Cricetulus griseus: one gene and its partner. The protein of the gene in region 2 binds, or shares a complex with, the protein of the main gene of each other region. Links are inferred from orthologs where the notes say so. Each region holds a gene or a part of one and is shown on either strand. Other genes may lie near its edges. The genes, in order: Birc2 and Btk.

What was found.
Region 1: the proteins of Btk (region 2) and Birc2 are in contact, whole or in part, in a crystal structure (PDB 6W7O), measured with the Homo sapiens proteins. The link is inferred for Cricetulus griseus from reciprocal best matches to the Homo sapiens genes BTK and BIRC2. Residues at the interface, in NP_000052.1 of Homo sapiens: Leu483, Asn484, Arg487, Glu488, Tyr551, Ser557, Lys558, Arg562, Lys595, Met596, Tyr598, Glu599, Arg600, Phe601, Thr602, Glu605; in NP_001157.1 of Homo sapiens: Pro280, Ser281, Ser282, Asn301, Asp302, Asp303, Arg314, Cys315, Glu317, Ser318.

Annotation. Positions count from the first base shown.
Region 1 is NC_048597.1:122,217,971-122,222,452, forward strand, and holds the start of Birc2 (baculoviral IAP repeat-containing protein 2), read right to left. Parts: upstream 2,836-4,482; 5' UTR 2,694-2,835; intron 1,212-2,693; 5' UTR 228-1,211; coding exon 1-227. UniProt on the Homo sapiens protein: Multi-functional protein which regulates not only caspases and apoptosis, but also modulates inflammatory signaling and immunity, mitogenic kinase signaling, and cell proliferation, as well as cell invasion and metastasis.
Region 2 is NC_048604.1:45,526,141-45,530,556, reverse strand, and holds the start of Btk (tyrosine-protein kinase BTK), read right to left. Parts: upstream 3,065-4,416; coding exon 2,924-3,064; intron 2,032-2,923; coding exon 1,933-2,031; intron 1-1,932. UniProt on the Homo sapiens protein: Non-receptor tyrosine kinase indispensable for B lymphocyte development, differentiation and signaling. Binding of antigen to the B-cell antigen receptor (BCR) triggers signaling that ultimately leads to B-cell activation.

The DNA of each region.
Region 1 (4,482 bases), on a different chromosome or scaffold from region 2:
CCTGTATAGTAAAAGCCAGCTCGAGCTAGGCTCCTTTCCGATACAGGAACTCCCGTGGGGAAAGCTGAGTACGTGGACATTCTATACAGCTCACATGAAAAATCATACTTCATTTTTTCTTTGCTCTCTCTTGTCCAGTCTGGCAGGGTTGTGCTATTTTCCATTATACTTGTGGGGTTTTGGCGTAAGGTACCTTGGACAACTCTTTGGGAGAGAGCTGTGTGCATGAGTAGTGAGAGTATCTCTAAAAGCTTACACTGCCTTTGTGAAGCTTCTCACACCTTCACACTAAGTAAGATCTCTACCACAGACAGATCCTAACTGGGTGGAAGTCACTACACCTGACTGCATTTATATGAGTTCACCCTTATATAGGACAAACCTGTCTCATTTCCCAAAATACTACACTACTCAGGACTCTAGGATCATATGAACCCTTTTGGGTAACCCAAGAGCTATTTAACCATAATTTACTTTCATTAAAAAAAGTTATGTAGTCAAGATATACTGAGTCAGGTGCTGACTATATTGGAAAAATTATATGCAGGCTTTTTCACCTTATAAGGACTTTAACATAAGGTCCAAACCTACTCTATTGTCTACCAAATACAAGTAAGTAAATTCTCCACATGGTTACATTTCCTAAAAGCTAATTTCCCACAGCTCATCATCACAGTATTTCCTGAAGTGGTTTATACTAATCTCAGTTACCTTCTGGGGAAGTTAACACACCTATTAAGACTACAGTATGCGTGGTGAATGACCTTTACTTAAAGCTTGAACTGTTATTAATCTCACCTGTTAAATCTTATGTGTTAGTACCTTAATCCTTCCTGTGTCTATTATTTTAATATATCTGGTCAACACAGTATTTTGTCCATAAACTTGATAGACTGCATTTTTAAAAGTCCACCTTAGCTTCACTACATCTGTTATAATTACAGATGAACCACTTTATGAAGACAGAGCTCTCTCTTCTGTTACCACAAGTACCTAACAAGCCTGTTTTACCACAGCATTCCTGTTGCACGAAGTACCTTACTAACTAGCCTTCTTTTTTGAGAACTCAATATTTTATATAACTATTCATACACAAAAGTACACTCCATAGAATTCAAACTGCATTTTTTATAAAAATTTTCAGATCTGCATGACTAGGTTTACTTCTAGGAAAACACCGGAGGAAATGGAGACTCTTAAGTGCTGTACATCTGGAAGGGAAAAAAAGATATTTTTATAAAACTAATTATATACCAGTTATGACCTCTTCAATTTATTCAGTAATATCTAAAAAATGACTCATTGTAGATAATACATCCTAACTACAGCAGTTTCTCACCCAACCACTCTACTTAGAAAAGGTCTAAATCAAAATACGTGAGTGCAGAAGACTTCCCAGAGCACTAACTATGCTTGTCTTTAAAGCGCACAGCTTTGTACATTTTAAAACGTAAAACTTTAAAGTCAGATGGAAATTTCCATCAAGGAAGAAAAATTGGTCCCCGATTTCACATTTGTGATTTTATTTACTGTTTATTTATTGTTACACAAAATGTACCATACTTCATAGTCATCTTTTTTTCAGTTATTTTTTGCAGGGACAGGGTCTCATTCTGTAGCTTAGGCTGGCTAGAAAGTTAATGTAACTCTAGCTGGTTTTAAAACTTGTTGGCATTCTCTTGTCTTGGCCTCCCAAGCACTGGGACCACACTACTGCCAGGCTCCTTTCATTTTCTGATTTAAAGATATTTTGATCGGGTACTTGGTTGGAGACAGAGAGCACCTGTGGGTAGTGGGGAGACAGTCTGCGGGGGCTGCTGATGCAGCTCCGTGTTGGGGCTTTTGCCTTGCAAGTAAAGGACCCGGGTTTAATCATCGCAGTTGTTAAAGAAAGAACTAAAAAAGGAGGAAGAGAAGGACGAGGACCAGGAGGAGGAAGAAGCATCTCAACAGAAAGATTTCCGAGGCCCGCTTGCAATCTCAATCTGAACACTAGGAAGATAAGGCAGGATGAAACGCTCTGCCAGCAGAGCAGTTGATCTAGTTGGGACTGAACTGGCCTAGACCCAGGAGTCTGGAAGAGCTCATTAACGCCTTCCTTCCGTTAAGGACAACCATTCCCTAACAATGCCAGCGCAGCCACCACTGAAACAATCTCAAAAGTGAAAAGTACAATTGCTTGTGGAGCACTGGCCTGGTACTAGGCTTCCACTGCACACCCGGTGCTCATCTGCAGCCAGTGCCTGCTCTCTGTGCACGCTGCAGAGGGGTGACGCTGGGTCAGAGTGACAAAAGACGCGCTTCCCTATTCAGCCAACCACGCAGTTATTGCTCACCCCAATACATGAGAAACGTCTCGGTTTAAAGGCAGTAGAGAAATGCCACCGGTAAGCTTAAAGCCCTGCGAGATGGGCGTGGTGGTGCGTGCTAGTAATCCCAGCACTTGGGAGACTGAGGCAGGAGGATGGCCGCGAGCTGGGGACCAGCCTAAGCTGACTCAATAAATAAATAAACCGAAAGGAAAAGAAAGCAAAACTGGAAAGCAAGTCCAAGCCCGAGGGCCGGGAGGCGAGCGGTGGTCGGGCGGCCTTGACAACAGGGGTTCTTACAACACCGGCTGAGCTGGCTTCGGGGAGCCGAGGGCCCTGCTCGCCCGCTCGCCCGCCTCGCCGGAGGGAGGGAGCCGCACTCACCGCGGAGTCGAAGGACACGGACGCCGCAAACCCTTACTGCTCACCCTCAGCCTTCCCGAAAGCCCCCGGGGCCAGAGGGGCGTGGCGGGCGTGTGGTGACGACACACGGCGCGCACCCACTGCGATAGGGGACTAAATTAACCGTGCGAGACTGCACATGCGCTTGCGCTTGCGCTTGCGCTTGCGCTTGCGCTTGCGCTTGCGCATTCAGGTTTTAGAAGCCGAACATCCGGGCCTAGCTGTCCGGGACCGGAGCAGGGCTGGGCCTTCGCCAACGCCCCTCGGGCGAGCCCGCACTCTCCTTCCGCTAGGAGTTTCGGGCGGTCGGCCTTGTGTGTTAACTGGCGGTTGCACCTTCAGGGTGGCAACCGCGAGCCGCCGCCCGTGGCTCGGGAAACCCTGCGGAAAAGCCCGCGCGGGCGCTCTCCCGCCTCAGCCCGCCACCATGGCAAACGTGGCTTCGTTGCCGAGCCTGGCCTCGGGCCCCTGAGTAAAACGTGTGCGTGTTGGACTTAGATGTTCTGTGAGATGGGCCCACGGACAAGTGGGCTCGTCTGCTGCACACCGCAAATCCCAGGAGTTGCGCCCGGCCGTGGCCAGCACACCCAGGCTTGCACACCGAGGCTCGCACATCGAGTCCAGCACAGCAAGGCTCGCACACCGAGTCCACCACAGCAAGGCTTGCACACCGAGGCCCAACACCCAGGCTTGCACACCCAGGCTCACTCACCGAGGCTGCCTGAGACCTTTGCGGCGGGGAGGCAGTTACACATTGTTTTGTTTTTAATACGCGCAGCAGGCAACAAACAGATAAGGAAAAAGCATAGTAGGAGGGTTAATAGTATAATGGGGGAGAGTGAGGTCAGAGTGTGTTGTTTATGTGTGATGAAACTGTGGAAGAATAAATTTAAAAAACTGCCTCCCCACCCCAACCTCCGCCGCCCCTCCAACACTAGCACACCAGGAAGGACTTCCCAATGCTTTTCCCGCCTGCCCTCCTGTTTGGATGTGTTGTGTTTGCTGTTTGGGGTTGCTTTTGCGGGTTTTATATTATTATTATTATTATTATTATTATTATTATTATTATTATTATTATTATTATTATTATTTGTTTGTTTGAGAAAAGATCAGGCTGGTGTAGGATTTAGCATCCTACTTCAGCCTCCTGTGTGCTGGGATTTGAAGTGCACGCCACGACGGGGGTGGGGGAGTGGTTTATGATTTAATTTATCTTGGGCTAGTCTTAGCCAATGAAATCAAAACGCTCCGGGGAACTCCAGGGGACAAACATTTCAAAAATTTAGAAATAACAGGCCAGTAGATTAGGCAGCCAAGGGGAATTCCAGAACCCATTGCCTCTCCCCGTCTTTCTGCCTGCCAATAGGTCAGTCACAGAACGGAGGTGAGAGTAAAAAGAAAGTATTTGTACTTTTGTGATACAGAGGAAAGACGTGTCATGGTTCCCAGTGGCTGCCTTCCAAAAATACACATGGATGCCAGTGTTTAGTTCAAGTCACTACTTCTGGGAAAGTTAAAAAAAATTCCTAATACTTGTGGGACTCTAGCAAGAATAGTGCACATTGAATTCTAGAGTAGGTCTCTTTTTCAGTTCTTGTCCTGACCAAAACACAAGATAGTGAGTCTACTTAAGTATACGGGAAAATTCCAATTACCAAACTTCAGAAGCTTCAGAATTTACTGAATACTGTAGAATTTTGGAGTCCAATCTTCTATTTTGTTGACCATTTATTCAACTAATACTTTCCCTATTTCCATGTAGAGCTGGTAA
Region 2 (4,416 bases):
GGATGCAGAGGCAGGCAGATCTCTGTGAGTTCAAGACCAGCCTGGTCTACAAGAGCTAGTTCCAGGACAGCTTCCAAAGCCACAGAGAAACCCTGCCTAAAAAACAAACAAACAAAAAAAACAAAACAGAACAAAAAATAAGGTATAAAGGGCCAAATAACTGGCTCAGAGTGTAAAGGCACTTGTCACCAAGCCTGAATACCTGAGTTCACTCTCCAGGAACTCCGTAGTGGAAATTGATAGACAGATTACATATAGACAGACAGATAGATACATCAAAAGTTTAGCCAAGCATGCTGATGCACGCCTTTAATCCTAGCACTCAGGGGGCTCCATAGTCTCAAATAGACAGATAGATAATTAATTAAAACATTTTAAAGGGAAAAGAAGAAGGAGAGGGACAGAGAAAGACACTTACCTGACTTGGACCTCTGGCTTCCACATGCACACAAACAGGTTTACATACATTTACACACACTTATACATACATATACACACCCAGAAAATAAATAAATAAATCTAAAATGCCAACTCCCTCCCCCCAAAAATACAGGTAGCTTGCAAAGCAAGATATATAGTAGCATTGTATTCTAGTTATATAATATATAGGTGCATGTGTATCGCTAGTGGAGAAAACATATTTAAACCTGTATATACCAGAATGATAATTATTATTTAAATGAATAATGGGTTTATATATCTTTTTATCTTAGTTTTGTGATTTCTATATTTTTCCATTTTCTATCCTAGATATGCATAATCTTATAAACAGGAAAAATAAAATGACAAAAAAATCAATTCAGTAATCATCCGGTGCTATTCCTTGGAAACAGCCTGGGAATTCAGGAAGAATAAAGCTGACTTGTTATCACCAATTCATGGAAGACTGAAGACTTTTCGGGCTGGAAAGATGGCTCACTGGTTAAGAGTACATAACTATTCTCCCAGAGGATCCAAGCTTGGTCCCAAGAAGACACGTCCACTCACAACCACCTGAAATTCTAACTCAGGGATCTGACGCTGGCCTTTGTATACACACAATGCACACACTCAACACACACACACACACACACACACACACACACACACACACACACACACACACTGGCCTCTGTATACACACAATGCACACACTCAACTCACACACACAATTAAAAATAAAATATATTTTCAAAAAAAGCAAGCAAATTCTCTTTTGGCAAATTCTTTTTTAATCTCTCTCTCTCTCTCTTTCTGTCTGTCTGTCTGTCTGTCTGTCTGTCTGTTTGTCTGTCTGTACGTACTTATTTTCCAGAGCATGCCTGTGGGGGTCAGAGGATAGCTTCCAGTGTCAGTCCTCATCTTCCACCTTCTTTGAGACATGGTCACTTTTTCAGTCGTTGCATATGCCAGACTAATTGGACCTTGAGTTTCTAGAATTCTCCTGTCTCCACCTCCCATGTTGCCACAGGAGGGCTGAGATTTCAGGTGCGAATACACTCCTGGGTCTGGCTTTAGGTGGGTTCTGGGGATTCTTGCCTGGCAAGCACTTTACCACTGAACCATTGCCTAAATGACAAGCTTTTCTTTCTTTCTTTCTTTCTTTCTTCCTTCCTTTCTTTCTCTTTCTTACATTTTTGCTTTCTATGTGTTTCGTGTGTGTGTGTGTGTCCACACTCGTACCACAGTTCTCATGTGGAGGTAAGCAGACAATTTTCAGGAGTTGGTTCTCTCCTTCCACTGTGTGAGGTTCAAGGGATAGAACTCAAGTCATCAGACTTGCCAGCAATTTCCCTTACCCACTTGGCAATCTCACTGGCTCCTGATGAAGAGTTTCTAAAGAAACAAAACTGTTCTACAATGCACTACAACACCACCATTCTATTTGGAGTATTTGCAAGTTCCAAGCGCCTTACAAACTGCAGCTCCCCCTCTTTGACACTAGCTTCTTACCGGAATCTGTCTTTCTGGTGGAGGATTTTTTTCAGGAACTACTGTCTCAACGCAGGTGATCTTCTCAACATCTATTGAACCTTTCTTACTGCCTCTTCTCTGAAGGAAGGAGGAAGAAAACGCAGGAAGATTAAGAATGATCAAGCGTTCAGACGTTTACACACATTGTTATCTTATCATCCTCTGTGGTAGGTAGCTCACATATTCTAACAGATCCTGGTTTCTCTTTGTTTGGGGTCTCACTATGTAGCCCTGGCTGGCCTGGAACTCACTATGTAGACCCGAGTGCTGGCATTAGTGTGTGCCATTGTACCTGGCAAAACCTGTCATTTTTAAAGTAAAAAATAATCCAACATTTATCTAGTCTTTAAATACCAAATAGGAGGAAGATGACAAGGAAGAATAAATGATTATAGTCAATTTCGTCACAAGAAACAAAAAAGGCAGGCTGGGTGGTGGTGCCACACACCTTTAATCCCAGCACTGAAGGGCAGGGGTTCTCAGTAAGTTCGAGGGCAGCCTGGTCTACAAAGCAAGTTCCAGGACAGCCAGGACTGTTACACAGAGAAACCCTGTCTCAAAAAACAAAAACAAAAACAAAAACAAAAAACAAAACAACAACAAAAAAACCCACCACCACCACCAAAAAACCAAACCAAACAAAATGACAACAGGGAATAGAAATAAAAAAGGCAACTTTGAATCCTTGGATTGTATTCTCAAGAGGCATGTAAAGAGCTTTTACCAACCGCAAGATTCCATGGAAGACACTCTGAACAGCTTCTAACACTCTTGAATTTTTCCCTGGCTTGACTGCACCTACTCCCAGTCTAAGAAATATTTTTTAAGAGTTTGAAGTACTTAAGTCTATTTTATTTCTACCCCCACATACACCTCCCCTTCTACCATGGATGACCTATCTCATGTCTCACATATCTAAGATCCAATCCTTGAAATGGAGAAATCCAGACTTCACGTTTGGGAAACTTACCCCACGTTCAAAGTCATACTCATAGTAGGAAAGTTTTTGCACAGTCAAGAGAAATAGGCGCTTCTTAAAGTTTAAAGGTGAGGTTTTCTTTTTCTGTTGGGAGCGCTTCAGAAAGATGCTCTCCAGGATCACTGCAGCCATGGCTTCCTCTCTCCAGATCTCACCTGGGTGCTGTGGATAATGCAAGGTTTTGAGGATCTAGCATAGTCATCTCTAATCCCTCCTGGTTCTACCTCTGCCCTGCTACCTGTTTTAAATGAAACCCTCACGTGCAACACTAGCAAGGAAACATTTTTCCTGACCTCCTTCTTCCAAAGTCCCCAACTCTGTCAAATTTCAGAATCAGTGAATGCACACTGAACAAAGCCTGGCTTCTTACATAAGGGAACCAATGTTCTAGATAATCCACGACATATACTAGGTTGTTTAGCAATGTCTAGACACCACTCTAAACTACTTAACCTTTTTATGACACACGGCCAGAATCTGTAAATGGCAAAAATGTCTGTGAAACTCTTGACCCTGATATTCTCAGAAGGAATCATTCAGGTACCAGAATTTCACTAAGGCAGATACTGGACTTTCAGTTCCCAGTTTCCTGAACAATAAATGTAATTTTTTTCAAAAGCTGACCAATTCAGGTCTGTAGACAAAAGAACATTGGTGGGTTCACCTGTACTCATGAACACACAATAGCTGCCATTCGACTGATTTAGTTCATGCCTTACTGTCTGGGTTATAAAGGAGTGAAGCTTTGTTTCCAAGTTGAAAACCGTTTTACTACAGTATATTAGTGCTTCGGCTCTCGCTCCCATTACGGTTTCCACAGATGATTCCCTTTAGATGGCACCAGGTAAAAGTGATGTAACCTGCAGCCTTCCGTTTCCAGCACCCATACCATGGCTTGCACCCACCCGTAACTCCAGTTCTAGGATATTCGGCGCCTTCTTCTGACCTCCATGGACACCAGACATGCAAGTGGTACATGTTGCGATAAAGCTTGAAGGGAACCTTGCATGGGGGACCTTGGTGGATTCCATGGCAGGCAAGGGTGACCAGGCGGGAAGCAGGGGGAGGGTGGCAGGGGGACAGGGACGGACATGCTAGGCAGACAGAGCTTAAGTGAGAAGTTTTATTGGAAAGGGGAGGGAGGAGGAAGGAAAAAGAAAAGAGGTAAAGAGGCAGAGACACACAGAGAGGACAGAAACGAAGAGGGAGACAGGAAACGTCCTGCCTGCCCCAGGGGAACCGCGGGGAAGACAGCTGGAAAGAGAGAGCAGGGAGAGAAGAGCAGGGAGAGCTGGAAAAAGAGAACCGGAAAAGAGAGCATAAGTGGGCGGGGTCTTTCTTTTTAAAGGGGTCCTTTGCACCTGCATGCAGACTACGCAATCATGGAACCCTGGGCTGACCAGGGTACTGCCTGAGTGCATTCTGCCAGGTGACAGGCGCAGGACAGCATAATGCCTGAATCCTTACGCTGCACATATGTACAC